Notamacropus eugenii: one gene and its partner. The protein of the gene in region 1 purifies or fractionates together with the protein of each later gene. This does not show direct contact. Links are inferred from orthologs where the notes say so. Each region holds a gene or a part of one and is shown on either strand. Other genes may lie near its edges.

What was found.
Region 2: the proteins of VASP (region 1) and PFN1 purify together in Homo sapiens (affinity purification with western blotting; 3 studies listed by BioGRID and IntAct, with this or other methods). This does not show direct contact. The link is inferred for Notamacropus eugenii from reciprocal best matches to the Homo sapiens genes VASP and PFN1.

The regions. Positions count from the first base shown.
Region 1 is NW_027325105.1:115,401-130,670, forward strand, and holds the start of VASP (vasodilator-stimulated phosphoprotein), read left to right. Parts: upstream 1-7,154; 5' UTR 7,155-7,290; coding exon 7,291-7,295; intron 7,296-14,564; coding exon 14,565-14,736; intron 14,737-14,863; coding exon 14,864-15,032; intron 15,033-15,270. Other genes in the region: RTN2 (reticulon-2), read right to left, coding at 13-282, 521-958, 1,400-1,444, 2,438-2,471. UniProt on the Homo sapiens protein: Ena/VASP proteins are actin-associated proteins involved in a range of processes dependent on cytoskeleton remodeling and cell polarity such as axon guidance, lamellipodial and filopodial dynamics, platelet activation and cell migration.
Region 2 is NC_092873.1:79,361,264-79,377,104, reverse strand, and holds PFN1 (profilin-1), read left to right. Parts: upstream 1-8,857; 5' UTR 8,858-9,669; coding exon 9,670-9,801; intron 9,802-11,530; coding exon 11,531-11,723; intron 11,724-11,973; coding exon 11,974-12,071; 3' UTR 12,072-12,339; downstream 12,340-15,841. Other genes in the region: ENO3 (beta-enolase), read right to left, coding at 631-700, 812-870, 1,034-1,142, 1,676-1,877, 2,397-2,594, 2,691-2,913, 4,270-4,403, 4,532-4,601 and 3 more; E3 ubiquitin-protein ligase RNF167, read right to left, coding at 12,774-13,030, 13,114-13,194, 13,951-14,044, 14,230-14,335, 14,789-14,879, 14,980-15,067, 15,149-15,274. UniProt on the Homo sapiens protein: Binds to actin and affects the structure of the cytoskeleton. At high concentrations, profilin prevents the polymerization of actin, whereas it enhances it at low concentrations. By binding to PIP2, it inhibits the formation of IP3 and DG.

The DNA of each region.
Region 1 (15,270 bases):
GCAAATACTTACCTAGGACCTGAATTTCTAGAGTGATCCCTGATTGGTCCGAGCTGTCCAAGCGCTGCCCGGTGATTGGCTCCCGCTGAACTGCTCCCCACACCTCCCCCTCCTCTTCCGGATCTTCCTCCTCTCGCCAAGAGTTAGAGTCCCGAGACCCCAGTGAAAGAGGCGGGGAAGGGGTGTGGGTATGGAGGGCTGAAATTCCTGGACGTGGGCTGAGATGTGACCAACCGACCTCAGGCAGCGAGGGGTCAGCTGGGAGGCATGGCACTTCCGAGTCTTCGAGGCAAAAAAGGAGAGAAAGGAAGCTATGAGCTTCCCCTTAGGGTGCACCTCCCGCCCCCACCAAGATTGCCCTGTGTTCGGGACCCCTCCCTTCCTAGATTCAGTCACGCTCTTCTCCAAGAATCTAATAATTCCTAAGAATCCATGCTTCTGCCCCCTCTCCCCTATCTTACCCCGAACCACCTTCAGCTAAACCTTAAACGTCCTCCTCAATTGTGCCCTTCCGGCATACCTTCCCCATCCAGTCTGGGCTCTGGTCCGCCCTCCTCCTCGCCCTCTTCCTCCTCTTCTGAAGGGCTGCTGGCCGAGTCCTCCGAAGCCGCCAGCCCCGACTCCCAGGCCAGCTGGTCCAGGCGGAGCTGCAGTTCGGCCTGAGGAGGGCCTTCCTGGGCAGCCCGTCGTCCAGGCTCCGGAGACTGGCTCAGGCTGGGGATGCTCTCCAAGCTGTCTCCCAGACCCGATGGACCGGGTTCACGGGGTTCAGAGCGGCCAGAAGGGCGAGGCCGGCGATGGACGGAGTCGCGACGGTTGCCCCCAGCTTCGAAGGCGATGTAGGAGAAGGTCAGCTCTCGGGGGGTCCCCCAGTCCTGCGACGTCGTCTCCTCCTCTTCCTCCTCAGAGAACTCACGAGCAGTGTGTAGCTCCCGGAAATCCGAATCGTCATTGCCACCTGGAAGGACGCTGTTCCCTTAGCGCCAGTCACCCACCATCTCTAAACTCCAGATTCCTCTCAGAAGATCCCCCCATGCTCACAGGATTTTAGATAAGGAATGGAATTTACAAATCACCTAATCCCACTTCTTCATTTTTACAGGTGAGGCAACTGAGACTCTGTTTCCTTCCCCAAGTTCAAAACAGGTTACTACCAGAGTTGGGATTTCTTCTTAGTAGCTCCTGCTTTGTCTTCTCCGCACTGTTACTAAATGGCTGACTTTATTTTCCCCACACACCCCAGCAGTACCTTCTCAGCGGTTCCTTCTCATTTCTCCTTAGAAAGTATGAGCTTACCATGAGTCACCGACTTTTCCTCGCAGCTTTTTGCACTCCCCACTTCATTTAGCACCCCAGAAATGCCCTTGCCATAAAGGAAATGAAGGTCGACTCTACTTACCATCTGTGGAGTCAGGAGTGGAGGAGGCAGTGGATGGTGCTTCTTCTAAGAAAGAAATAGAGTCTTAGACACAGCCTGGAAATCTTAAACACTTAGAATCACAAAATTCAGTCCTGGACGATTGGAATTTTGGAATTTTAGAGTCTTAGAATTGTAAAGTTGTAGAAATTTAGACTTCGGGAATTTTAAACTTTGAGAACCTTAGAATCACAGCATCTTAGCCTTTAAGAATCCTTGTGCAGAAGTGAGACTAGAAAGCAGAATGTCAGAATAGTTAAGGACTTTAGATACCGTCTGATCCTCTCCAATTTTATAGACGGGAGACGGAATCCTACATAGGAAGGTTTGCCCAAGGTTGCACTCTTAAGGAAAGACTGATCCCGGACCAGAATCCAGTTCGTTGGATGTCTCTGTACTGGCAAAGGGGATAGAGGTGGGAAGCATCTGACACTTCCTTCTCTATACTAGAAAAATTAATTCCAAATCTATCAGGAAAGACGAGGGGAGGCGGTGTTGATGTGTGTGTGTGTGTGTGTGTGTGTGTGTGTGTGTGTGTGTGTGTGTGTATGTGTGTGTATGCTTGCACTTGTCTAAAGCTGGAAAGGTGTGGGCGGAGGAGACTGCCCCTTAGAGACGGTGGCCCGGGATTAGTCCCAGGGAGTCCTGGGAAAGGGAGAAGGGGGAGGGATGGGGCGGGGAATGGCAGTCTTCCCCTCCCCCATTTATCCTAGGCCTTTCCCTAGGATCAGCACCACGGCTCGGGGACAGCTCCGGGTCTCGCCAGGTCTCCCTCGGTCCCTTTCCGTTCTACTGGCTGGGCCTGGCTCTCAATAGCCCGTTCTGTTTAAAAATGGAAGGCGCTTAGAGATCATCGAGTCTAATCCTTTCATTTGACAAAGGGGGGAAACTGAGGCCCATGGAGAGCTACATTAGTTGGCTGTGGGATGGGGATTCTTTCTTTGTCCTTACCCCATCAACCCCGGGAATCCCCTCCCTTCTAGAATTGGCACCCCTACCCCAGGGACTGGGGGGACTCACTGCAGTGGGCGAAGACTGGCAGCACCTGGCCCATGGCCCCGCCCGGGCCCGCTCCGGCCGCGCCGCCCAGGGCCCGGGGCCCCTCGTGCTCATCGCCCCGGCACCGCCCCAGCCGCCGCCATCCGCAGACCGTCGCCGCCTCCCTCCCTCCCTCTCCTCGGGGTCTGGGCGGGCGGGGCCCCGAGCTGGGACCGAGGGGAGCGAAGAGAAGGGGGTGGGGGGACTGCAGCACGAGCCCCGGGCCGGAGGCGGGGCTTGGGCTGGGGGGCGTGAGCAAGCGCGCCTGCGCGAGTTTACAGACGGGCGAGGGGACTGGGGAAAATAAGGAGCCTGCGCGAGTCTGGAAGGGGTGGGGGAAGGGGCGGGCCCTGAGGGGGTGGAGCATAAGCCGGGGAGGGAGGGGGGGCCTGCCTAGGGGCGTGCACTGGAGGAGCCTGAAGCCAAACTAGGGAGAAAATGGGAAAAAAATACTAGGAAACCGTGCTAGGGCTGGACTAGGTGGGAGGAGGAGAGGCTCAGGGAGGGGAGGGGATCCTGACAGAAGGGCGGAGGACACAACTGGAGAGAAGTTTTGCCAGCTCCTAAGCCTTCTGAAACTCACCATTCTGGGTGTGGGAGGGGCTCGGGGATCTCGAGAGGCGTGGCATCGAGCACCAGCTTGGGAAGCCTGGGAAGACTGAATGTGGTGTGAACCAGAGTGAGCCGCCAGGGGGAGCTTACACACTTTCATTCATTGGTTAAACTTTTATTCGGGGCCTAATAGGATGCCCAGGGAATTGCACTAGGCGCTAGGGAAAATATCACGTTCAAATAAGATCCAGGTCCCTGCCTTAACGGAGCTTACTGTTTACTAGGGAGATAACTTTAATCTTCAACACCGCCTGATAAACGCAGGAGAAAAGGACAAAGTTCTAGGTGAGGTCCAGCGGGAGGTCTCTGATCATGTTGTGAGGGAGTCAATATGCTAAAAAGCCCTGAATTGGGAGTCACATGACCCACCTTCAAATCCTGCCCCTGTACATCTTATACAAATCATTTCACCTCCTTAAGTCTCAGTTCCTCCATTTGTAAAATGAGAGAGTGAGCTAAATGGCTTCTGAGGTCCCTTCTGCCTCTAGATCTTTGACTCCAGGAGAAAGGTTGATTCTGAGTCAGAATCTTATTCAGCTAGAATAATAGACTCTTTAAGTCAGAGACTCTTAGAACTGTACTTTCTTAAGTCAAAATAGAATTTTAAGCCTTTATGTTTACCTGAGACTTACCATGACTCCCCTCAGATAATACTTCCTCTAAAAGGCTTCCATGATCTCAGTTCTCCCCAGCTGAAAGTATTCCGATTCCTTGTATCATCTTCCTATTTTGTCGTTTTCTTTCCATTGATCTCACAACACGCCCTACCTTCTGATTCTTACTTCTATCACATATTAGAATGTAAGTAAACTCTTTGAGGGTAGGAAGTGAATCATTTCATTTTTTTTTAAATCATAGTATCATAGATTTAGAGCTGGAAGGAACTTTAGAAGTCACCCAGTCTAACCCATCATCCAAATGAAACCAAGACAAAGAGAGATCAAGTAGTTGCCCCAAGATCACAAGGCTAGTAGGGTTTGGAGGTGAGATTTACACTCCAGTCTGCCTCTGATGGCCCATCATGGCATGTAGGTTCCTCTGGGTTTTTGAAGGCACTTGGTCTCTAGAATTCTCTACCAAGCTGGAAAGGTTGAATAGTGTTGTGTGTAGATCATAGATTGAAGTTCTGTTGTCCGAGTCAATTAATGTAGCCCCTATTTCCTGCCTTTGTCAAGCCTAGCTCAATTTAGAGAGGTTCATTAGCAGCTTGACCACAAAGTGATGAGGATGACTCTACTGAAGTTATATAGAGGGGTTTATGAGCTGTGTGCCTAGAGCTAGGACTCACAGTGCTAAAATTACCTCCCTTGAAATGTTTGAATCCATGAAGTTGTAATTCCCTCAGAGCCCCTTGGTCTGGAACATAGTGGGCACTTAGTGTTTGTTTAATTGAACAGAATCTTAGACTTTAGGACCTTAGATTGATAGATTCATAAGATCTCAGAGGCATAGAATTTTAGGACAGTAGAAAGTTGGCCAAGAAATTTTTATTGACCACTTCCTATGTGCAAAGCCTAAATGAGGAAGTGTTCACATTTGGACACTTCAGAGGTTCCTTCTACCTCCAGTCTTCCCTTTCCCACCCTCCCCCAGAGCCCCTTGGCCTGGAACAACGTGATCCTGGAAGGGAAGAGAAAGCCCTAAGTTTCTTCATAACCAAGGTCAGCAGCCCTGAAGCAGAATCTTGCTGTTAACCACCTTAGACTGTGAACTCCTTGAGAAAAGTCTCTTTTCCCTTTCTGTCTTCCCAGCACTTAGGTACTTAATAAATGTTTATAAGGGAGTGACTCTTCCCTAGGCTCCCTGACTGCTGAGGACTGGAGCAGAGGAAAACTTACTTAGCTACCCACCTCCCCCCACCATGAGACTGACCAGTCTTGTGGAAATAAATATGATTAAGGATAAGGAGGGGACTTCCCCTTTTTCAAGTTCCCCTGAAGTTAGAACATTTGAAAGGAGGAGAAATGTGAACCCTTTAAAAAGGTACAGGGGAGGGAATCCTAGGACTCAGAATCAGGTGAAGAATTTTGGTTTTCTTAGAGTCCAGAGAGGGGAAAAGATTTACTAAAGGTCATGCAGCAAGTTAGGGTCATAGCTAGGATTAGAATCTTGACTTCTCTATCTTAGAGAGGCAGCTAGATATTAGAGTAGATAGATCACTGGATCTGAAGTCAGAAAGATGAGATCAAATCTATCTAACTAGCTACATGACTCTGGGCCAGCCACTTAATCCTTAACTTCAGTTTGCCTCAGTTTCCTCAACTGTAAAATGAAGATAATAACAGCCTCCACCTCACAGGGTTCTTGTGAGGATCAAATGAGACATCTGCAAAGCACTTAGTACAGTGCTAGGCATGATAAATGTTTAAATCCCTGCCTACCCACCCCCCTTCCCCTTAGAGAGAAGACAGCATTCAATATTCCCCAAATGCCCACTCAGCACTCTACAGAATGATCAGCTAGCAGAAACTTGTGGACCAAAGGAAACAGATCTCTGGCATGAAGAGGTATTCAGTAAATGTCTCCTAAAGTCCAGGGACTGTGCTAAGTTCTGGGGTCATCATAAGGAAACTGCATTCTGGTCAGAGAGTTTCCTACCCGGTAAAAAGTGGAAAAGGGAATGAAGAGGCCTGCTGCCTGAGGACCAGAGTAGGTCAGTTTGGAGAGATTCATGACCACCTCAGCCACAAGGTCAGGAAAACAGTCCTCACTATGGAGAGGATTGTGAGCTGTGTACCTGGAGCAAGGACTTGCAGGGGTGAAACCATATCCCTTGAGGTATTGAAGCACAGGAGATGTATATATCCTTAGGGTCCAATATAGGATCTTGAACATAGTGGGCACTCTAAGTTCCTGGGAAAAGGGGGAGCTGGAAGAGGTTCTATGGAAGAAGGGTTTGGGGAGGTCAGTAGCTTCATCCCTGAGGTCATTCATTACTTTGGGAAAGTTTTCCTTTCTTGAGCTTTGAGGGTGTCCACTGCTCACTCTCATGATCTCCTGGCTAAGAACTCGGGACAGACCTGGAAGGGCTCTTAAAATATGGACTATGGAATGATGGGGGAGGTCACCAGCTTAAAGCACTGACTCAGTGCCTGGCACACAGTAGGTGCTGAATAAATGCTCGTGACCTGACTGATTTTGCTCACGAAGAGATGATCCTGAGGTCCAGAGAGGGGCAGGGAACTGCTTGAAGTCATCTAGTGCATCGGCGATAGAACCCAAACCTTCCGCCTGACAATTCGAGACTTTTCTCCCAGAGTCCTCTGCACTCAGTCTTTATAAAGATGGGGAACTCCGAACCCCCAGGGAACTCCCAGCAGGCCAGAGCAGGAGGGAATGAACGCAAACTCACTACTTCTTTTTCGTCTTCTAACTGGCAGTTTGTGTATTTAACAAGGGTAGAGGGGGAAACCGAGGCACACTGGATGGGGGGAAGGGCTGAAGATGGAACCCCGGCGTCCCGCCCTTCTTCGCCCTCGCTTGTCTCTCAGTCTGTCTCTTAGTCATCCCGGTCCACACCTACTTCCTCCTCCTCACCTTCCCCAGAGGAGTGGGGGCGGGGCTGGCTCAGGTCAGGTGAAGGGAAGGGAGGGAGGGGGATGGGGGAGTGGATCTATCTACAGTTGATTGATCTCTGGACCCCCCCGGGCACCCATACCCAAAAAAAGTGTGGGGAAGGGAGATTGACCGGTGTGGATGGGGAGCCACCAAGGAGAAGTGCAAGGGGCAGCGGGCCGGGCTACCGGACGGCCGGAACCTTTAAGGCGCGAGGCATTGTGGGCGCCCCGACTGTGCGGAGCGGAATGGGCTGGGGGGGGAAAAAGGGGGGTAGTTGAGGAAGCAGGTTGGAATCTTGGAATGAAATGTAACCACAGGAGAAAAAGCGTAACGTTCTAGCAGCGGGCAGCTGCAGCAGCGGCTGCGTTGGCCAGGCGGGCGCATCTGACCGGGAGGGGCAGCACAAGGCAGGGGGCGGGGGCAGGGGGAGGGCCCGAGCACCCCCAACTAAGAAGGGGGCGGGACCCAGACCGAGTCCCCGCCCCCCCATTGCCCCCTCCCCCTCCCCCTCGAGGAGGAAGCTACAGCCCTCCACGGGGCGGGTCCGGCCCCAGATCTGACCAGAGCTCCGGGCCCCCCTGCCCTGCCCCTTCCCCGGAGCCTCCGGGTGTACCCCGGAGCCCGGGAGCCCAGTGCGGCCCAGACCGCCCCTCGAGAGCCCCGCCATGAGGTGAGAGATACTAGGGCGGGGTCTGGAAGCCGGGAGACTTTGGTGGGGAGGGTGCTTTGGGCCTGGGGACGCTGCCGGGATCCAGGGAGGCCGCCTCCTCAGCGTAACCCTGTGGCTGGTTACAGGGAGGGAGAGAGAAGGTTGGGGGAACCCAGGGCTCTGGGAAAGGAAGGGAAGGGGAGGCGAGGGGCGGACCTCTTTTCCCCTTCGCTACAAGAAGTATTTTTGGGGATCCCCCTTAACCAGCCCTCCACAACTTTTGAAAGGACTCCCCCTGAACCCTACCGTTCTGGAGACTAGGCGGGGGAGGGGAGAGGGGTGTGGTGTCCAGGGACTCCTTGGGAAAAGGAAGGATGATGACCAGACCGTTGCCCCTTCCCGTGCCAGGCTTTCTTCTGTGAGGTTCCGATTGTTTCTTCCACTGTCCTGTTTCCAGGAGTTCCGAGATCCGTTAACCACACAGTGGTTTTTGCTTTGGTCTGGTTTGGCTTTTTGAGAGGCAGCAAGTTTTGTCTTGGGCCCCTTCAAAACGAAGCTGACACCTTATACACCCCCCCCCCCAAACCTGGGCGGTGAATGATGCTCTCTTGCCTCCCCTCCGATTCTAGAGTCGACCCGGGTCAGTCTCTAACTATACTCCCCCCACCCCAAATGTGGGGTTTCCAAAACCTCGCCCCGCCTGTAAGCCTGTGAAGAGAATGAGATGCACTGGGGGAAAGGAAGGATGAGAGGTCCAACCACCCCTTTGACCTTTGGAAACCAAACCCCTTCACGCTCTATAGTCCTCAGTTTGCCGACGAGTCCTTATTTATGTACTGGAAAGTCTCTCTGCCCTGCCTCCAGGGACGCTGAGCCCTAACTTTTCTGGGGTTTGATCCTTGAGTCCTCACATCAGGGCTGTTGAAGCTCTTAATTCTTAGCCGTCCCTCCTGCTTAGAGAAGGCTTAGATAGACCCTTAGAGCTGGGGTGAAGCATTACCTGTCTCCACCCCCGACTCTCCCCACACACACAACTGAGTTTCCCGGAGGGAAGAGGTCTCTTGTTTACATTCCCCTTCCGCTATATCTTGAGGGGAGGGGGTGTTAGGGAAGTTATCCAGAGGGGTAATCAGCCTTTCCCCAGAGTCTCCACCCCTGACCCCTCCCCCAGATTCCCCTGGGAAGGAAACCAACTGCTGGAGAGATGGAGGAGGGGCAGAGGCGGCTTTTGTCTCCTGGGACTCACCTGTCCAAGAGGGAGGGATTCTTAACCCATGTTCCTTGTTGGGGGGGTGGGGTGAACGGGGAAGGGAGAGGGCACCTGGTTGGGGGGAGGGGAGAGCTGCACACCCACAGGGGATCTAGATGCTAGGGGTTTTCATAGATGTGTTATGTATGAGAGGGAAAATAAAGTGACAGGCCCCTCGCAAAAGAAACCTCTCGACTTATAACTTGCTTATGAGAGGACCACCCTCCTGGAGTACCGAGAAGACAGATACCTGAGCTAGGGAGAGAGATGTTGAGGAACGAGTCCTTTTCCAATCCCCTGGGAGCCGCTGCTACAATGCTATCGCTTTTCCAGCCCTGGGATTTCCGGACAGCCCCCACCCTACCCCCTTCTGCCGAAACTGGGGTTCAAACCCCAGAATTTAGCTCCAAGTGACTTTAACTCCTGCCAGGCCACAGTCCCACCACACCAGCTCTGCTGCAATTTAATTCATTAACCTCCTATTAATTTCCTGAGGCTGTAGGGTTAATCTGGAGACAGGGAAGGGATGGAAAGGGAATTTCCTCCCTCCCATTCCCCCCACTCCCCAGCGGTGGCCGGAAGTCTGTGGGGTAGTGGGACAGTTTGACTATGATACCAATTTCCTTCGGTTTCACCACTTTTCCGGGCTAAGGGGGTTGAAAGGGGGGGTCAGCTGAGGCGTGGGGATATGGGGGGAATCGGCGGCAGGAAAGACTTCGTGGAATGTTCTAAGCGTTCTAGCTGTCACGTTCTATCAACCTGATCTCCCGTTTGTTCTAAAGTCTTATATTCTATGGTTCAGAGGCTCAAATGCGAAACATTTTAAAGGTCCGATCACCTCTCCATCCCTAGCCCCAACTTCTAGATCCCAGGGAGAAGAGGAAGAGATACCCAGGGAAAGTTGGGGGTTAAGACCCTGGGGCAACAGTATGTAAGGGGATTCCGAATGACCCCCCTCCCCGGGAGCCTATGGGTGAGATTAGTGTTTCTAACTGGCCAGCTCCCCCTCTCAGCACCAATAAGACAGAAACATTTCCCCTTCCCCCCTCCGCCTTTTAGAGTTCGGTCCTGGCTCCTTATAAGTCTCCATTCAGCCTTCCTTCCTTCATGGGAGTCAGGGGAGGAGCACGGGACCCCTCCCCTTTCCATTCTCCGCCCTACCTCCTGCCCCAGGTCCCTCCTCCTCCCCCCTTTTCCGGTCCCTGGTACAAGAGGTGGAGAGGATTGAGGAGAAGGCGGACGTCCGAGTCCCCGCCTCCCCGCAGCCCCCCCCACCCCCCACCCCCGCCAACCCTAGCTCCCAGAGACCGTAAAAGGCCAGGGCTAAAGCTGCTCTCCCCCTTTCACCCTGCTTCTCTAGCTTGACTTCTCCCTCCCCTCAATCCAAGGCCTGAAAATTGAAGGTATAGCTCAGGAGCCTTAGAGAGTAACAGCACGCAGACCTATTCCCAACACCACTTTGCAGACGTACAAACTGAGGCCCAGGGACTTGCCCCAAGCTACACAGGAAGCCACAAGCAGAGATAAAGCTTGAAACCAAGCTAATAAAGATTAGAGAGAGGCCACTTGGTGTCAAGGAGTCCAGGACACAGAGAGTCTGTGACATCTGCCACCTCAGAGAGTCGCTGTTTCTTGCTTCCTCACATCTGTAAAGAGGGGAATTGGCCCAAATGACCTCTAAAGTTCCTTACTGCTTTGAAGCCTGTGATGCTGTGATGCACAGAGACCTGTCTTATCCATATTCTCCCTTCCTCCCTACCTAGGGTCTTCCCTAGATTTCCAGGATCCTTTTCACCTCAGTGGGAGAGCCAAGTGGAAAGAACACTTTAGAACTTGGTTTTGATAGGCCTGGGTTGAAATCCCAGCCACAATAGCCCTGTGACCTTGGGCAAGTGGCTTAACCTCTGTGGGTCTCACTTTCCTCATCTGTAAAACAAGGGTAATTAATCCACTAGATTCACTGGGGTCCTGGTGAGGAAAGCACCCAGTAAAACAGGGCCCTGGGGAAATTGTAGCTGCTGTTACCTCAAGAAACTGGGCGTGGCTAAGGGCCTCCAACTTCCTGGGGGTTATTTGAGGGGGCGGGTAACAGGATGGAAAGTCACAGGGTTTGTTTCTCAGTCCAGCTTGAGTGCCTACTGGCTGGCTTCCTCCAGGTCACAGACACTGGAGCCTACAGGGTAGTTACCAGGGAGTGGGGCATTCAGGCATTGGGGAATTTCCTCCTCTTTGATTTTCTATGTCTATGAGCCCCCCAGTCATACTGAATGTTGGATTCTAATTCTTCACCTCTCAGGATGTGGGGCTCATCTAGTTCAAACTTGGTCCTCATATAGGAATCTCCTCTCCAGCGTGATCTGTCCAGGTGATCAGCTACCTTCTCCTTGGACACTTCTACCTCCAAATGGGAAGGACTTCTGTATAATAAGACAAAGTACTAGGAGAGGGATTACAGACCCAGAGCTGGGAGGAATCTCCAAGACCAGCCAATCTAACCCCTTGGTTTTTACTGAGGCACAGAGGGGTTAAATGACCTTACCCTAGGGTCACACTGTAGTCATCAGAACCTAGCCAGGTCTTCTGACTCCAAAGCCAGCAATTGGGCTACTGGGAGGGGTGGGGAAGGGAGGAGAGGGAGAGAGAGAGAGACAGAGAGAGAAAAGGAGGGGAGAGAGATGCAGGGAGGAAAAGAAAGAGGGAGAGAAAGAATAAAGGGAGACAGAGAGGAGAAGAAAGAGGGGGAAGAGAAAGGGAAGAAGGAAGGAGAACAAAGAGCAGGAAAGGGAGAAAGAGAGGGAGGGAGGGAGGAAAATAAAAGGACAGAGGAAGGGATGGAGAGAGAAGGAGAGGGGGAGAAGATCTAGACTTGAGAGCTAGGACCTTTGAGTTCATTTGGTACAACTCTGTCATTTTACAAGTGAAAAATTGGTGGCTGAAGTTGTCTAGTTATCCTCAAATCCTAGGCTCTTTAAAGACCAGCAAGTCTCAGAGAGGTAGTGTTGGACAAAAAGAGTCAAAGGACCTGGGTGCAAATCTGCCACTTATTGCCTGCATGACCCTGGAGAAGTCATCTCATCTCTTTGGGTCAAATGAAGAAGATGGAGTCTTCTAAATTGGATTCTAAACCTACTCCCCTTGTACGAATGGAGAACCTGAGGTCCAGAGAGACAGTGAGTCCTAGAAATCTAGGGTTAGAACCCAAGTCTCTTAACACCTAGCTCTTTTATTCCACAAACATTTATTAAATGTTCTGCATGTATAACACTCCTGTGCCTCGCTGTAGAAGACACACAAAGTTTAGATAATCCCTGCCACTTCCTGCCCTGGTGGAGCTTATAGTCTATTGGGGTAATAGATAACTATACCATACAACATTACATGGTAAACATATTGGAAAAGAAGGGGGGGAGGGAGGGAGGGAGAGAGGAGAGAGAAAGAGAGGAGAGGAGAGGAAAGAGAGGAGGGCTAGGTGAGGCCTGAGGGGGAAGGTCATTACCAACCAGGGGGATGAGGAAAACTGGAGGAAATGCCATCGGATTTGGGACTGAAAGGTTGAGGGAAGGCATTCCTAGCCTGGAGAACAGCCTGCACTGGCAGTTCTAGGAGAGCATAGGGTGTGTTCCTGAGACAGGGTGGATCAATATGGCATTCTATGGAGTGCATAGAGGGAAGTAATCTGAGATGGAACTGGGAGCACAGGGGAGTGCCAGAGGGTGGAGAGCTTCCAATGCCAGTCACTGGAGACTGGACTTGATTCTGCAGACCAAAGATTTTAAGGCACAAGAATGACAGGACCTGATCAATGCTTGAAAAAAGACTAGATGTGCATTCTGAGGGAGGTTCAAGGGGAGGGAGGGGAAGCAAAGAGACCTACCAGGACCCTCTTGCATTAGTTTGGGGGGTTAAGGGGACTAGCCGCAGGAAGAAAGGGAGGGATGAATCAGAAGGATTGCTTGATGTATTGGAGCCAATGGAAAGAGAATGATCCTAGAGTGGGTTCAAGTATCCAATTTCTGCCCCTGACTTTATAGTATGACTTTGGCCTTTTTCTCTGGGCCTCAGTGCCGCATCCTGAAGCAAGGGGGTGAACTGGATCCTTGAGGTACCATCCAGCTCTAAAGATCTGATCTACCATCATACGTACTTTGAGAGGTGCTACAGCTCTAGGGATCTGTTTCCTTCCCTGTAAAATGGGGCTAATGAGATAGATGCTACATGCTTCACCTGGGATGTTGTGAAGCAAGTGCTTTGTAAACCCTAAAATGCTCAAGAGATATACGCTGTCATTATTATTGAACTACAGAATGTCAGAGCTGGGAGAGCCCTTAGCATGGGCTAGGATTAGGAGGGACCTTAGAATATGGAATGTCAGAGGTGAGACTTTAGAACACATGTCAGGTTTGAAAGGGAGCTTAGAACATAATGTCAGAGATGGGAGAGAACTCAGAACATAGAGTGTCAGGGTTGAGAGGAACTTTAGAACACATGTCAGGATTGAAAGGGAACTTGGAACACAGTGTCAGAGATGGGAGAGATCTTAGAATAGGGAATGGGAGGGAGCTCAGAACTGAGCATGTCAGCTGGGAAGGAACTTAAAAACAGCAGGAGTCCTGAGGCTGAAGCTGGAACAGGGTGGGGCTTCCAATGTGTGTACCCCTCCTTGAGGAAAAAGGGGCGAAGGGCAGAGAGCAGGGTGGTGCCTGTGTTGTGCTACGACCTGCCTTTACCCCAGCAGGCAGTGGGCGTGGGCTCCAGGTGTGGGCAGCCTGCCAGGCCCTACCCTCCAATCAGCCCTCTCTGTGCTGGCACTAGCTGACAGTGGGGGTGAGGGCCAACCCCTCAGGCCACACAAAGGCTCCTGACTGGAAGCAGCTGGGCTTTCTGGTGGGGGTGGCTCTTCTTCCCTGGGGCTTCACCTGTCTAAGGAGCACCTGGCATTCAAGTACAGATCTGGGGCCCTGGGGCCGGCTCCTTCTGACATCTGTTTGCAGCCTCTGGGCACCCCACTCTGACTCAGGGACTGGTGGTGGGATCAACTCCTTTTGGAGATGTCCCGTCTCTCCTCTTTTCAGCTTGTAGAGCTGAAGAGGGGACTAAGGCAGCTTCCTGTGAGCACAGAGAGGGTACAAATAGTGGAAAAAGTGGACTTCTCATGGGGGGAGGCTGGTATTTCACCGAATGGCTATTTCATCTTCCTGGGGCTTCCTTTCCCTCTGAGAAGTTCCTTATGACTCTGAATATTATTCCGGCTTATGCCACCTTTCTGTACCACACAGAAAGGTGAGCCTCAGAGTTCTCCCTCACCCCCCACCCCAGATCGTTATCACTCTCCCTCCGGAACTCCTCTTGCCTCCCTACTTCCCCATGTCATGGGGGATAGGGCAGATGAGGGAGTACACTTAGAGACATCAATCCCTTTAAGGCAAAAGAAGATATCTTCCATGATGCTCTGGAATTCTGGGAGTTGTAGTTTCTTTTTGTGACATGCAAACTGAAGGGAGGGTCTTTTGCCAGGATGACTTTGGGGCTGGGAACAAAATCCTCCCCCTAAGTCATCCGGATGCCTGAGTGTCCTCCATTGGGGTCTCTTTGGAGCATGGGGTAGAGGATGTCTTACCAATCAGAACATCCAGACTAGAAGGGATCCCATGTTGTATAATGTGGAGAAAGTGAGCTCTACTCCAGCATCTTTGCCAAGAGAACCCCAAAGGGGGTCAGGGAGAGCCAGACATGATTCAATGACACAGAACAAGGCCCTAAGAAATGAAGTGAGAGCCATGGAGCTCTCTGTTCATCCACTCTCTGGACTCACCTCCTGTGATGGAGGGATTTCAGGAATGCTTAGAGATCTCTAAACCAATGCCTTCATTTTCTGGATATGGAGTCAGATTCAGGAGGGTTCGGCCTCCCTGGCTCTCTTCTCCCAGGTCTGGTTCCCAGCTCAGGGATCCTGTGTGGGCTTCTGTTTGGAGAGAGGACTGGGATTGCTGTACAGTGATTCACCCCTTGCAGGCCACTGAGTCTCTTCTTCTTCCCCTCAGTGAGAACCTGCTCTGCTCCAGCTGGGCCACGGTGATGGTTTATGATGATGTCAACAAAAAGTGGTTACCGGCTGGAACTGGGCCGCAGGCCGTTAGCAGAGTCCAAATCTACCACAATCCTAGCACCAATGCCTTCCGAGTCGTGGGCCGAAAGATGCAACCAGATCAACAGGTGACTTCCTTGGGCCCTGGCCTCCCCATACCCCAATGTCCACTGGGGAGTTGGGCCTTGGAGAAGAATGAGGGCTCCCCTCAGGGAGCAGCTGGGTCTCTCCTTAACTGAATCCCTCCCCCACCAGGTTGTTATTAACTGTGCCATTGTTCGGGGTGTTAAGTACAACCGGGCCACGCCCAATTTCCACCAGTGGAGGGATGCCCGCCAGGTCTGGGGCCTCAACTTTGGCAGCAAAGAAGATGCTGCACAGTTTGCAGCAGGAATGGCTGATGCCCTGGAGGCTTTAGAAGGAGGTAAGGGGAGGGCCTTGGAATTCTGCAACTGTACCGTTCTAGAATGTTAATGACATGTTTGGAAGTTTGCTAGGCCCTGCCAGGTCTAGAAAGGAGCCTCATCTAGAGAGGAAGGGGGAAGACGGGGCTGGCCATTAGATGGGCCTGGGGATGTAGGACACTACATGTGGGCCCACAGAGGGTCACAAGGAGCAGGAGTTTGAGCAAGGTTTCAGAGGCAGGATGAGACGATGGTCTC
Region 2 (15,841 bases), on another chromosome or scaffold:
CTGATCCAAATTTTCTTCCCCTCACAGCTATATAAAATACAGCTGCCACTGTTTCCACTCCACCCCTACTGGGACATTTCACTTCTTTGACTTTTTCCAACAACTCTGCTCTCAGGATCTTGTCTCTCTCCTCCCATCCCACCCCCATGATGTTTTTATATTGTGTCTCCTTCCTACAACCCAGTCCAAACAACTTTCCTTTTCTCCTGCTTTCCTCAATGGTCATTTACTACTAGTAGTAGCTGACTTTTATGCAGGGCTTTGATTTAACAAAATGATTTCACATCTGTCATGTAATTTGATTTTCAACCTCCCCAGGAGGTGGATGGTACAGATACTATTACCTCCATTTTATAAATGAGGAAACAGGCTGAGAAAGGTCATATAGACCTCCCCCCCTCAAGGCTGCTGCCTACAAATCTAGTCTTTTTATTCCACGGTGCTGTTGCTCCCTTTTCAACATGGATGCCACCTTCTCCTGTCCCCTCCCTGAGATGAGGATGTACTTTTCTGATCCCAAACCATGACACCCTAGTCATTCTTGCTGTCCAAAGTGCTTTATTGAGAGAAGTGGTAGAGATGGTGATGGACTCAGATGTCTCTGTTGATCTAACACTTGGCTCCTTCAATTTACTTGGCCTTGGGGTTACGGAACTTCCGCCCAGCAAAGACAGCCTTGTCTCCAAGAGCCTCCTCAATTCTAGGCAGGGAAAGAAACAGCAGTGAAAATGGCCACTTCCTGTTCTACCTCTACCTCACTTTTCCCTTGGACACCTCCAACCTCCCCTCACCCCCTGCAGCATTGAAGTACCTCATGAGCTGGTTGTATTTAGCCAGACGCTCAGAACGGCAGGGGGCGCCAGTCTTGATCTAATATAATGAGAGACAGGAGGAAAGTTACAGAGTCAAAAGAAGAAGTGTCACAATCCAGTGACTGGGGTCAGATTGAGAAAGAGGAAATTCAGGGATGGGTGAGAACCTCCAGAAGACTTGGCTCTGATGGCCACAGATGAGGAGATATCCTGTTCCCTACCTGGCCAGTGCAAAGTCCTACTACCAGATCAGCTATGAAGGTGTCTTCTGTTTCTCCAGATCGGTGGCTGACCATCACTCCCCAGCCATTAGTCTGTGCCAGTTTGCAACTACAGAGAGAAGGGTCTAGGCTCATTACAGTGGAAAGAGGTCAGAGGACTTGGGTTCTAACACCTCCTATCCAGAAGACCCTGGGCAAGTCTCAACCTCCTTACAGATGAATTTTCTCATCTCTATAAAGGGGGAACTGGACTAGATAGCTTGAGATCTCTTCCAGCTCTTAGGTCTGTGATCGCATGATCCCTTTGGTTTGAACCCAATTCATTCATCCATGCATGCTACAACCATTTTTAAAGTACTTACAATGTGTTCAAAAAACTTGGTTGGGGGAAAGGATCATGTGTACATAAAACATGTATCTGAATTCTTGATAGGGGTGAAAGAGTAATGGTGAATGATTGCTGACCTTTTGGGGAAGAGGAGGAAGTGAAAATTTTTTTACCTTGAATTTTCTTGGTGAGGCTTCTGGATAGAGGAAGATTAGACCAGGGATATGTATGTAGGAGAATAACTAATTCATGGGTGAATTTCTAGAGCATGGAGTGATTCCCACCTCCCTCCATCTCACCCACTGGGGACTCACGCCTGGATGGATTCAGTGACAGAACCAATCTGGTTGACTTTTAGCAAGAGGCAGTTACAGGCTCGCTTTTCTACAGCCTGGGCAATACGCTTGGGGTTAGTGACAGTGAGGTCATCACCCACAATTTGGATGTCAACTCCAGAAAGAAATTTAGTCCAGGTGGCCCAGTCATCTTGGTCAAAGGGGTCCTCAATGGAAACCACTGTGTGAGGAATGAAGGAGATCATCGGGAGTGGGTTAGAATGAGAATAGAGAGAGGTGCTATGATGGAGTGGGAAAAACAGTGGACCTGCTGTCAGGGACCCTTAATTTCAGTCACAGCTCTAACCCTGTGTATGTTCAAACAAGGGGCAGGACCTACGCTGGGAACACTAGCTCTGCTTCTCAATATGGGAGTAACCCTGGGCAAATCATTTGACCTTTCTAAGCTTGTTTCCTTTTCGGTAAAAAAGAGATGTTAAACTAACTAGATGTTAAACTCTGCCCACCCTCCCACGTCTCCCCTTTAACTCTCAATTTAATAATTTCTGACAGTGTTTCCTCATTTGAAAATGAGTGTTGGAAAAAAAGCTCTTTGTAAGCCTTATTTCACTAAACATATAGGAGCTATTATTATTAAGTGTAGCAGGAAGAGAGATCACTAAGATCAAAGAAAATACAGTAGAATAAATTAGGGAGTTCTATAAGGGGGAAGGGAGGATGGGGTCCTTGCATCTCTCACCAGGGTAATTCTTGATGAAGCTCTTATATAGCTCCCCTAGTTTCTCCCCAGAGATGTGCCGGGCAGGATCATCAGGGGATTTGAAGTCAAGATCATATTTCCCATTTTTGTAGAACTCAGAGGCAGCAACGTCCATGCCAATCACCACCTTGTCTGGGTAACCAGCTGCCTGGATGGCTGTTTTCAGCAACTCCAAGGCTGGGGGTAAAGGAGAAATTAAAGGAGTAATACCCCATTTTCCCCTCTAGCCCTTATTCCCTTTATGGACCCCTCCTTTTCATCCCACTGACTGACCTTCATTGTTCTCCAAGATGTTGGGGGCAAACCCACCCTCATCGCCTACATTTGTGGCATCCTTTCCATACTTAGACTTGATGACACCCTTTAGATGGTGGTAGACTTCAGCCCCTATACGCATTGCCTCTCTGAACGATGCAGCCCCCACGGGCAGGATCATGAATTCCTGCATGGCCAACTTGTTTCCAGCATGGGATCCCCCATTGATTACATTGAAGGCCTGGGTGAAATTAAGTGGAGGGAGATTCAGATTTTGACCACAGAGAAGGAGTGAGATAAGACTAGGACTGTAGCATGAGGATAGACTTGAGCTATAGAGGGAAGGCTGGACATTAGATTCAAAAGACTTCCAAGGGAGGAATTGAGTTCAGTGATTCAGGAGAAAACTCTTTAAGATATTACCTCTACTCTTAAAATGGCAGACAGTCCCTTTGCACAAATGGGGAAAAATAAGACTGATTCTAGTTGATTCTACTTCTACCACAGCTCCTAAGTCCATCCCTCTCATGCCACTCCCCTTTGTTTATTCCCTTTTTCTCAGACTTTCACTCGCCTCTCAGCCCCGTCTCTCCTCTCCCTTCATCCACCCCACCATTCCTTTTTCAACTCCAAATTCAATAATCTGCAGTTTTCTTGGTGCTTCCTTCACACAACTTCTAAAATCGTGAGGCAAAAGTCTCCTCAGAAGTCTTCAGTGGCCCACTATCCTATTTTATAGAGTATAAACTCTGTACGTTTCATTTAAGGCTGTTTACCATCCAGCTTCAACATATTTCTAGTCTTATCTTACATTAGTACTACAAAATGTGATGACCAAACAGTCTGTGAAATAACATTTCTCATAGTTTTGGGCACATGATATTTCACTCCAACTGCTTTGTTCAGTCTGTATTGCAGTCCAATATCTTGGTCACCTGTTTTCTCCCTACCCCCACTTTTTCATACATTCTTTCCACATTTTTACCTGTTGAAATAAAGATTATAAATTTAGAGCTGGAAGGAAATTCTCTTCCTTGGAAGGAAATACCTTTACTAAGCTCAGGTACTACTTCCTCCAAGAATGGATATATACCTGATAACACAGCTACTACTCTTTGCTGGAAGGAACAATTTTCCTGCCTGACATTCTACCTTATATTATTCCTATTTGTAGTTTACATGGCTTCCTCCCTATTATCCTGTAAAATCATTGATGACAGGATTGTGCCCTATTTCATTTTTGTATCTTCAGTGCTTGGTACAGTGCCTTGTACATGATAGGAATTTAATAAATGCTTGTTGATTTGAAGTTAGACTGCTATTGAGATGTAAGTGGTCCAGACTACATAAAGCATTGTAGAGAGTAGGATGAGAGTTAAGGAAAGACATTTTCAGGCACTTATCTTAGAAAAGAGAGGATAGGATTCTGAGCTACAAACACACAAGGAGGCTATACTTTAGGAAGTGATCTCTCTGGGCAGTGAATTAGCATCTAGACTTCCTAAAGAGTTTTTATTCTTGAAAAAGGGGGGCATCCTCTGTCTTAAGGCCAAGTTCAAAGGAATGTGATCGAGTCCCAGGGTTAAGAAAAGCTAACCGGTACTGGCAGCACAAGGTCTGGATTCCCAGCGAGGTCCGCAATGTGTCTGTAGAGGGGGACCCCCTTCTCTGCTGCTCCTGCCTTACACACAGCCAGAGACACACCCAGGATGGCATTGGCCCCAAACTTGGCTGTAGAGAAACCAATGATATGAGAGACTTCTTCACATAGAGTGAGAAACTTCTCCCTTCCAGCCCCCTCTCCCATTGGGAATGGGGTTATTCTCTGGTCCTCTCTCCCTTGAAATCCCCTCACTCACATTTATTCTCTGTCCCATCAAGTTCAATCATGAATTTATCGACTTTTTCTTGATCCACAACACTCAATTTCTAGATGAGTGAAGACAAAAAAAAAAAAGACATACAAGAGACTGACTGTGGTAGGATCATCTTACAGAGACTTAGGCAAGGACCTAAGAGGCTCAGGTCATAAAATTAATGGCTATGGGGAGAAGAGGGGGGGAAAGGGGAAAAGTACCAGGAGTAGAGGGGACAGATTTGAGGAATTTCTGGCCATTCCCTTGACTATTACCTTTTCCAGTAAAGCAGGAGCCAAAGTCTTATTGATGTGTTCCACAGCCTTCAGCACCCCTAGGGAAGAGAGCAGAGGTTAGGGATCAATAAGTTCTGACTTCCTATACTAAAGAGATCCCAGGTTCACCAACACTCTCCATCTATGCGATCCAATACTCTGCCCACCCTCCCACTTCTCCCCAAACAAATACATTCTCTTTAAAGTGATATCTCACCTTTCCCCAGGTATCTGCTTTTGTCTCCATCTCTCAGCTCCAGAGCTTCATAAATCCCAGTGGAGGCTCCACTGGGTACAGCAGCTCTGAATCGGCCTGAAGAGTAAGGGGTAGAAATGAATTGAGACTACTCCCCTCTCACAGCCCAAGTGGGAGAAACCCCAGGTTCCTAGGGTCCCAAAACAGAAACCAAGGGATAAAGAGACTTTGTTTTTGAGTCCTGGGGCCTGGAGAAGTGGTTAGCTGAGAAGTAGTCTGGGAGGAACCAGGGTTTGGATGATTAGGGGACTCAAATTAGTTCGGCCTGGAATATATGAGGAAGGGGTAACATGGATGTATGGATTATGGAATCCAAGAAGAGCTGTAGAGGAGGGGAGAAGTGAGGAAGAGGTGTGTTTGGAGATACATCTGAAGACATGCAGGCTCCCTCCTCACCTTTGGCTGTGTGGAGATCCACCTCCACTGTGGGGTTCCCCCTAGAATCTAGGATTTCTCTTGCAAAAATCTTCTGCATTGCCATGGCTGCGGACTTTGTCAGTGGGGAAGCTTTTAAAGAACCGAAAAAGACACCCCCAAAACCTCCCATGCCCTTTAAAGTCTTTCCTCAAGCCAGGAAGGCAGGTGCTGGTACTAAAAATAGCCCAGAGAAAGGTCAGACCAGAGAGGCCCAACTCCCTTTCCCTACTCAGAACTCCTCCCATCCCCCCATCTTATGCTAGAAAATCTTTTTTTTTCCCTTTTAATGCCCCCAATTGCTTTTATTTCCCCCCAACCTTCTCAGACTCTCCTCTTTCCCTTCATTTCACTCTGATTACCTTGCCACCCTACAGCATTCCTACCTCCAGTCCCCCAGTACCATCCCTGTTTTAATCTGTTCCCTATACCACATCTCCATATTCTTCCTCTCCCCCAGTCTTGTTTTGCCCCTCTCCATCCTATTGCTCCCTTACCCCACCACTTACCCTACTCCCCACATTCCTCCCCATCATTCGCAAATCCTGGCTGTGCCTCTACCTTACCGTACCATCTCCCTTTCCTCTTTGTCCCTTTCTCCCCAAATCCTTGTGTCTTCCTTTAGGCTCTACCCCATCCTCTCCCCCATTCAGCTACCTCTCCATCCCCTCCAACCTTCTCATTCTCCAGTCTCTCCCCAACCTGTGGCTGAGAATTACAACTTAGTGTAGCGGGTGGAGGAAAGAATCATCCGTGCCCCTGCCCTACCCCTCTAGAATCAGGCCTGAGAGGTCTCACCACAGCTGGAGTTCCTTGGACAAGGTCTGGGGGTATGGACTGCTGCTGGGATAGTGTCGGGCTATCACTCCTAAGCCTGGCATTTATTACTGACCCCGCCCCTCTGCCCAGCCCCTCCCCTGCCTACCCCTCCCCAGCTCACTGACTATCAACAGTTGCCCACCAAAGGCAAATTCATGGTCCCTAAGACACTCCTCCCCCCTCCTAAGGCTGTGCCCTCCCCAAAAAAGTCATACACCCCCCCTTAATTTCACCACCCACAAAGGGGGCTCAGCTGGGGAGGGGGGGGGCGCAGCTATTAAGTCTTTCCCTTACCCATTGCCTGGATTCAATTTCCAGCAGCAAAGGTTAAAGAGGGACCTTTAGGAAAGGGCGGACGGGTAACCTGAGCCTCTGCCCCTTCATGCATAGACTGCAAGAGGGTCTTGGGGGAGGGGAGACTACACCCATCCTCATACCTCCTGGTAAGGAGGCACTGTCAGCAGTGAGGCTTTGGGTCTTAAGGAGAAATTGGGAGGGATCAGGGTTTGGCTCAAAGTTTCTACCACCACTCTCAGGTTTCTTAAAGCTGCTGCTCCCTCCTCCCTCCAAGGAGAGGAGCCCTGTACCTCCTACACAGTGTGCAAACTTAAACACAGACCTTTGTGGGCCTCAGTCTTCCTGTCTCTTTCTCTGTGTCTATTCTGTCTCCTTGTATCTCCGTTGGAATCTTGTCTCTGGGTTTATCTGTGTCCCTCTAAGATTAGTCTCTTTTTGCTCTACTTTTTTCCTTTTCTCTTTTTTTTTGTAGTTGAGCCTGTTTCTGAACGTCTTTCTCTGCCTGAATCTGACCCTCTGTCTCCTCATCTCTCTGTCCCTTAGTATCTGTGTCCATCTGAAGTTCCCCCAATGTCTTTTTCTTTCACTCAATGTTTAGTTCAAATACAGTCTTACTGAACACCTGTCAGTGATGCCCCTAGATTCCTACATTGGGAAGTCGGGCTTACATGACCTTTTAAGTTTTTTCCAAAATCAAGACTGCATAATTTGAAATCTGCTTGTTTTGTTGCGGTTCACTGAATCTGTCTCGAGTTTCTTTCTATCCTGGTACATTCAGTAGTTCTGAATTTGTGTCCAAGGACCCGATTGAGTCCTCATTCTGCCATTTTGTGTGTGTGTGACCCTGGGCAAGTCTGGTAGACCTCAGTTTCTAATTCCCGTCTGCCTCTAAAGTTATGGTCATACACACATCTATTCTTGTCAGTTTATTTTTGGGTATCTGAGTATTTTTATGTCTAAGTATCTTATCCGCTCCCCTTTGCCCATTTCCAAGGCTGTTTGTATTCTTGAGTCGTCTCCCCATGTTTGTTTCCCAATCTGTTCGTTTCTGCCTCCCTACGTCAGTCTGTCCTGATGCCTGCTTCTGCACGAAACTTTGTAACTGTCTCGTGGTCTCCGAGTTAGTTTCTGCCTCTCCTCCCTTCGCTGGGCGTTTGCTTCTACGTGCATCGTTTGTATCCTCCCGTCTCCCAAGTCCTGCCTGCCGTGCCCGAGTCCCTCATTCTACCTTCGCACCTCTGGGAGTGTTTCTGTGTATTTCTCAGGCCTTAAATCTTGAGGCTCAGCCTCCTCTGGTTTCTCTTAACGAGACTTTGCCCCTGGGTTTTCCTCCGTGCTCCCTCCCTGTCTCCGGAGGAGCGAAGTGCGTTTGCAGAAAAGCAAACGTTCCCGGCTGGGAGTCCTAGTGTCTAATCCCAGACGAGAGCTCCTTCTCCCCAGGCGCCTGGGAGCCTCACTCCGTGACTCACCACCCTCCCAGCCCGGGCGTGCGCCTCCAATCAGTCTGTCTGACTCACTCAGGTCTCGGGATTCTCTGCCCACAGTCCCATGGCCATCTATGCCCAAAGCAGACCTCACTTTATCTCATCCGTGCCCCTCCCTCCCCCACGCTTATCTTCCAGAATCAGGGGCTGCCCCGCCCTTCGGGGAGTGCGGACCGGGGTGGGGGGCAGAGGTCAGGCCATCCGTGGAGACGACGGCCTGCCACGAGCCCTAGAATCCGGCACCGCCCTGGGCAGGAGTCCGGGCGGCGTCGGACACGGGCACGGACACCTGGGTCCCACCGGACTGCAGAGACCCGGTGGGATTCTGGAAATTCAGTGGGAGCAAGCCGACCGGAAGCGGCCAAGCCCCTAGCTGGGGCGGGGGAATATGGGGAAGGGGGGGCTCGCTCCGTCAGCCCCAGCAATCCGGATCGCCTGGGCCCCGCCCTGCCCCGCCTCGTGCCCAGCGCGCCCGGAAGCTGGCAAACCGCTTCGTGTCCCGGCAAAAAGTTTGGAGAGAAAAAAAAGCTTCCCCGGTCCTCGCTCCTCCAGCGTGCTCTAGCCTCTCGTCCCGTCCCCCATCTTCCCCCACGCCCTCGCGGCTCGTCCCTCCCCGCCTGGGGCTTCCTCCGGTCTCGGCCGGCCCGCTCAGCCTCCAAGCCGGCGGCAGGGGAAGGGAAGGGGAGCTCTGGGTGGGGCTCTCGTCCCGCCGAAAGCGGAGGGATATAGAGACGGGAGAGCGGGTGCAGCCTGCTCGCGGTGGGGAAGTGCACATGTTCCCAAAGGGGCAGTGGAGGAGCCTAGTAAGCCTTCCTCTCCCTCCACTTTCCCTCCGCCTTGAGAGAAAATAAAAGACTGCACTGGCGGGAGAAGGGAGCGGGGAACCCGGGACGAGACACGTTTCCTTCCCTCCCCGGTTAAAAAAAAAAACCCGAGCCTGCGTAAGCCCGCGCAGGCGCAGCGGCGACCCCCAATTTCCACTTCCACGAGCCCCACCCCTTTACTGCCCGCTGGGGAGGAGACTTTTGCTTCCATCCCTGCCCGCCTCGCCCAGCCCTCCCTAAGTTCCGGCTCTTCCCGGGCCTTCGAGCGCATGCGATGGGGGCTGGGGCAGAAAAAGTGTTAAAAATTTAACCCGGTTCGTGCCAGGCCTTCCCTCGATTTGCATCATTTGGGGCTTGCCTAGTCCCCGTTTTCACCGTCCTCGTCCCCTACCGGAGTTTGATTTGTCCCCTAAAATGCCACTAACCGCCTAACCCTAACCCGACGCCCGCTCCCGCCCAGAGGCCCTTTCATTGCACTCAGCAAATTTGGCTACTGAGAAGGGGGGAAGGAGGGGGGGAATTTTAAAAATTGTTATTTGCGAAGTTTTTGCTCGCGAGGGGGAGGGGGAAGAAGAGGCGGCCCCGCCTCCACTGTCGTTTGCAAAAAAAAAAAAAAAGGAGGGGGGAGGGGGGAGGAGGAGCAGCGGGACGAGCAGGAAGCAGAGCTAAAGGCAGCAGAGAGAACGGAGCTGCGAGTCTGGACGGCAGCGCGTGTTCCGAGCTCTCCGCCACCCCCTGCCCGCAGTAGCAGCAGAGCCAGACCGCCAGCGCTATGGCCGGTTGGAACGCCTACATCGACAACCTCATGGCGGACGGGACCTGTCAGGACGCGGCCATAGTCGGCTATAAGGACTCGCCCTCGGTCTGGGCCGCCGTCCCCGGGAAAACCTTCGCCAATATCACGGTATACGGAAAGGGAGCGAGCTGGGGCCTGGAGGCTGTTGGGGGGGAAAACGTTCGTTTCGTGGTGCATTTGGAGGTTCGGCCGGGTTTTTTGTTTGTTTTTTGTGTTTTTAATTTCAGGGCTGGTGGGGGGATGGGGCAGCTGAGGGTGAGGAGCGGAACAGCCGGACCGATGGGGGGCCGGAGGGTCGGTTTGGCCGAGAAATGTCGGCCAGGCTGGGCGCTGAGAGGGTGTGAGTGAATCTGGGTAGTTGTGGGGACGCCTGGGTGCCGCGCGGGAGACGCTGGCGCTGGGCTAACGGGACGAGGGGCAGAGAAGTGGTTTCCCATCTTCCCTCTTCTCCAAGGCCTGGCTTTCACCCATCACCACATTTTCCTTTGACTTTCTGCGCCGAGGCCTTTACATGGATTCTCAGGTTGCATTGCAAGCCCGCCCTCCCCCCTTGACCGTTTTTTCCCCAAATTCCTGGGACTCCCGCTCCATGGTCGTTCCAGCACCACCACGGTTCTGAGGGAGGGCGTTACATCCGGGGCACAGGGCGGGGAGGGGCGCCAGCCGCCCGGTTCATCGGACACTTCCGCCTCCCTCAGGGCGGGGCGGGGTGGATGGGAGATTTCCCCCTTAACCTTTTTTTAAGGGGATGGCGGGGCGCCCCTCCACTTCCGGTTGCATGCTTACGTGCCCCCACTCGTTCCACCATTGTTCGCCCCCCGGGGGGGAGGAAGAGAAGGAAGCCCGGGCTCCTGGAGCTTCTTGGTGCCTCAGGGCTGCTCCCGGCCCGGCCCTCTTCTCCCAGGGCATGGCCACTCCCAGCACCACCTTACCAGCTTCCCCTCGGCCCCCATAGTTCCCCATGGCCCTGCTCCTTTGGGGTCCGTGGGTAAATTTCCGTGAAGGAATTCATCTCCACTTCCCCCGTTCGGTTTTAACGTCTGGAGTGGGGTTGGACAAGGAAGTTTTGGGGAAGTTTGGCTGGAGGTGGGGGGATGGAATAGGGAGTCATAAAGGTCAGAGGGCTCTCTCCCCAGTTTAGTTTGCCCGGAAGTGGGGAGGGGGAGCGGAAGTTTGAAGTGGGGATTTCCGGGAGCTCAGTGGCCGGATGTGGGGTTGGTGGGGTGTGGGGGATGTATAGGGGAGAGAGGGTGCTTGAAGTTCTTTTTGATGTGAGAGGTCTACCACCTCCATGGGATTGGCACCACCACTACCAAAAAAAAGTTTTCTGATTGCAGTAGAGTTGCGGGATTCGTTGGGCTCCCACCCTAGTTGTCATCTGGGCCCCAAACCACCAACTAATGTTCTCAGACCCAGGAATCCAGGGCCCCCACTCTGAGCTTGGCTGAGTCTTTGCCCAAATAAGGGCATAGCAGCTTTGTTCCATCCCCGGCCCCTCCTCCTCTGCTTCTGCTTTCCTGAGGGGAAAAAGCCATGTGCTTTGATATACCCTCATCTTTCACTGACTCTTGGCTCTCCTGCTTTTCGTCTGAACAATTTTATAGTGAATTTTGAGCTGACTCTCCTAATCTTTTAACTCTTTGGGGGAGAATGGTGAAGAGGGGTCATTGAAATAAGTTCTTAAGAAATAATACGTTTAAAATCCGTTTAAATTCAGACCCAAACTTACTTGAAAGAATTACCCACACAAATGGGCAGGGGGAGGAATGGGAGAAAGCCACAGTTCTTAGGTTTTTAACTTCACTTCCATACGTGCCTTCCTTCTTCCATGCTATAGCCAGCTGAAGTAGCTGTATTGGTTGGCAAAGACCGTTCAACTTTCTTCGTAAATGGGCTGACACTTGGGGGCCAGAAATGTTCGGTGATCAGGGATTCGCTGCTAATAGATGGAGAGTACACCATGGACCTTCGTACAAAGAGCACTGGGGGTGCTCCCACCTTCAACCTCACTGTTACCATGACTGCCAAGAGTAAGTTGTGACTCCTTTAGTCCTTAATCTTGAAGGCAAAATGTTTAATGCAGGTGGTGTGTTTAAAGTATATTGTTAGATAAATACTGACTGAGATTTCTTTTTCTGATGAGAGTATTTCACTTCCTTAGCTTTTTCATCTCCTATTTTCCCACCTAGCATAGTGTGAGATGTTACAAGGGACATTGCTTGGGAATACTTGGTTCCAGGTGGTGGGAGTACTCAAATCTTCCTTTTCTTCTGTTCTTAGCGCTAGTCCTGCTGATGGGGAAGGAAGGTATCCACGGGGGAATGATCAACAAGAAGTGTTATGAAATGGCTTCTCACCTTCGACGCTCTCAATACTGACCCTCCTTGCCCCCCCCCTTCTTCCCCAGGCTTCTGCACCATTTCCCTCACCATTGTTTTTTTGGGCCATTCCCCCCACCCACTTGTTGCTGCCAAAACTACACCTGGGGGGGTCCAGGTTGGATGGACAGGTGCCCCCCCCTTTCCTTTTGAACCTCCTTCCTGTGTGTAGTTGGGAAGACTTTTTTTTTTTTTTTTGAAAAAAATTTTGTTGGTTTTTTTTCTGGAAACTTATATTGGAATATGAATAAAAGATTCTACTAATAAAGATGTGTGTGATGAGGACTGGGATCTGCCAAGACAGGGAGAATTCCAAGAGCTGGCACTGCCATTTGTAGGCTCCAGGGAAAAACAAAACTGTTCAGGAATGTGCCTCTGCAGTCCTGGGAGGTTCCAAGTCTTAGCTGTTTGAAAACTTCTCCAAAGGGTTGGGTGCCTCTTCCCCCTTGTAGAAGACTGGAGCCTCCTAGTGATCAATAGCCATGGAAGGCTACTTGTCATTTCTGCCTGCCTGCCATTCTCCCCTCCACTCAAGAAAAACAACTAGACGAGATTTTTGTGGGGGAAGGGGTCCCAAGAAAGACCCCACCCCTGGTCCAGAAACAAAGCAATTTTATTAACCCAATAGTGAAAATCTTCAGATGTAGAAGGGGAAGGACCTGGCCCTAGCCCAGGAAATCCTCAGGAAGGTGTGAATTCAGGTCAGACTAGGAGAGCCGAGGAGGATGGGGAGGCAGAAGGTTCTTCAGGAAGGGTAGGAGAGAGGGCACCAAAGGAGGGTGGGAGGGTGGTAGAGGGGCCTAGGAGGGGGGTCCGCTCAGAGACTGGGTTCCCACTGTCCCCATCTTCCTCTGCTTCCTGCTCTTCTTCCCCAGGTTCTTGGTGAACTGGCTGCTTGCATATTGGGCAAGTCTTCCGGGTTTGGGTGAGCCAGGGGTCCACACAGTGGCTATGATAGGCTAGGAAAAGACCAAGACAGAAATGGGTCATATAAGAAGGGGAAATAGGGGAATGGCACCCTTGGGAGCAGAGGATTCCTCACCATGAGCACAGGGTAGTATCCTCAGCTTGTCCCCATCCTCATATTCTTCCAGGCAGATGGCACAGACATCGTATTCATCACCTAGTTAGAAGAATGAGATGAAGGCCCCTACTCAGCCTATCACAAACCTGATTCTAGTTTAAGGGTTATTAAGCTCTTTTGTGTTATGAGTCTCCTTCCATTCTTAGAATGTTTTGTGCGTTTGCATAAAAGTACATATGAAACCAATTGTGTTGAAAAAGTTATCAAAATATCCTTTAAAACGCCAGGTTAAGGATCTCTGTTTTAAGTGTTTTCTGTAACTAAATCCAGCTATACAAATTCAAGAGTAAAAAGTCCCTGCAATGTGTTGCTTAATTCAACTTAATCCAACTCAATCTACCTGGTCTCTCTACCTTCCAATCCTAATCACTTTTTTAAAAAACAAATATGGAAACTAGAGGCCAGGAAAGAGAAAAAGATTTGTCCAAAGTCAATGGTACAACCCAATGCAGAAAACAAACGAATATGATAGGAGAGCAAGAAGTGATGGGAACGAAGGGATCAAGCCTGCAAGGGGTAGAGGTGAGGGGAAGTGGTTTGGAGGAGGGAAGATGAGCAGAAATGGGGAAGGAAGGGCCAGGCCTCAGCTCTAGCCTTATATGGACACTAGGCCTGAGGATTTGCGTTTTTCTTGCTTTTTCCCCTTCTCTCTTTCACCCTTACTCTGATCTATGGAGCCTTTCTTGCCTTTCATCTCTTATTTCCTGACACTGAGACCCAGAACTTGATAGTGTTTGGACCTGCCCACCCCTGCCTCCTGCCTGTATGGAAGGTCATCCCGGAACCCTGCCTCACCCTTCTGATAGTTATGGGTGGGAATCTGTTTCAGCTGCTCTTTGCTCAGTCGGTTCCTTTGGAGCCGCTTCCGGTGCTGTATGCATCGAACTACCTGGCGGGGGAGAGGAGAGACGCTACCTGGCAGAACAAAGGAGAGGAACCCAACCTGGGAACATTAAAAAAGCTGGACCAGTTCGATCCAGTCTTCCTCTCCCCTCATGGAGTTGGTGTGATTTCCCAAACTATGCCTCTTTCCCAAACCCCTGGAAAAACAGACCTTGCCCAAAGTTAACTCACCAGCACAGCCCCCATGGCCAGAACCAGCAGGCCCACAACCCCAGTGAAGGGAATGAGGTAATAGCCTAGAGGGAAGGTGTTGTCTGGGACCAGCAAGACTCGGGCCCTAGGAAGGGACAAAGGGAGGGAGGGGTCAGAGAGCCCAGCAATAAGGGGCATTCAAGGACTGGAGGCATGGGAAAAGGAAGGGAAATAAAAACTCAAGCACAAAAGCTCATATTTCTCTAACACTTTATGGTTTACAAAACTTCCTCACAACAAACCCGTGGCATAGGCAATACAAGTTGCCTACTTCTATTTTACAAATGAGGAAACAGGCTCAGACAGACATGCTACAGCCATAGAGCTTAAGCAAACTCATGAGTCCTGTGCCCTTCCTAGCAAAGTTTTGTGACTCACATGGTATGCCAGACTGAGATAAAAGAATAATTATGGGGGGGGGGGAAGGAGAGACACAAGGTGGAGAGGAAAATAGTGAATGAAAAGATCGGGTGGGAAAAGGAGATTAGGAACACACCAGATATGAATCAGGATTGAGGACAGGGAAGACAAATCATACCCCTTGTCGTAGACATAGAGGGAGCGCAGGTACTCTGAGCTTGTCTCTCCCACAAACACTGATGGGATCCAGATCTGCTGCTGAATTTCCTCTGCAGGAATGGGACTGTCATACCAGGGACTCAGGCATCCCCACCTCCTCTCACCTCCCCCCACCCCAAGGACTTGGGTGCTCAGGTACCCAACTCTTACCACTATTCCACACCATGTTCAAAAGTTCATTGGAATTCACATTGTAGACTATAGCTGCTCTGTACCCAGCCTTTTGGGCATTTAGAACCTGAGAGGATGAAGGGGAGTCACGGTAACAACCACCCAATCACTCTAAATTCCTTCCACAATCCCCATTCCCATTCCCCACCTTGAGATCAAAGTTGCAGTCAAATCTCCGAAGCAGGGCAATAAAGGCAGAACCATTGGCAGGAGCAAGAGGTGGAGGATTGATAGGACTACAGGCATTGGCAGGATGAGCCTCAACTAGGAACCCCTGGGGGGAGGGAATAAGATTAGGTGCTCTTCCTGCCTCCATGGATCCAAAAATCCCTACCCTTTATCTCCTCCAGGCAGCAAGAGACACAAGTTAATTAGAAACATCCAATTCTAAACCAAAGTTTCTTTAGAATAATGATCCCAAACTCTCCAGTAAGATTCCTCCACAGTTGAGAACCCTCTCCCCTAACAACTACTTTCTTCTCCCACTTTAGCCTCTAGTGTACCCTGCTCTCCACGCTTCACAACCATCTGACTCCAAGCTTTCTTCAAGATAAGCTTTTGCTCAGGATATTTACCTTGAAATACTATTCACTCTCATAGGAAGTAATCTTCAGTTATAAACTCTCTTCCCTCTCCCACATACAAACCATCAATCTCTCCAATCTAGCACCAATTAAATATATTCCGCCATAAAGTTCTGATATGCTGCTATATAGTTCTAACTATAAAATATGGAAAAGCACCTTGTTGATCACGTATTTTAGGGCTTAATTTTGTGTCTCGGATCTTTTGAAAGTCTGGTGAAGCCTTCTCAGAACAATGTTTTTAAAATGAATAAAAT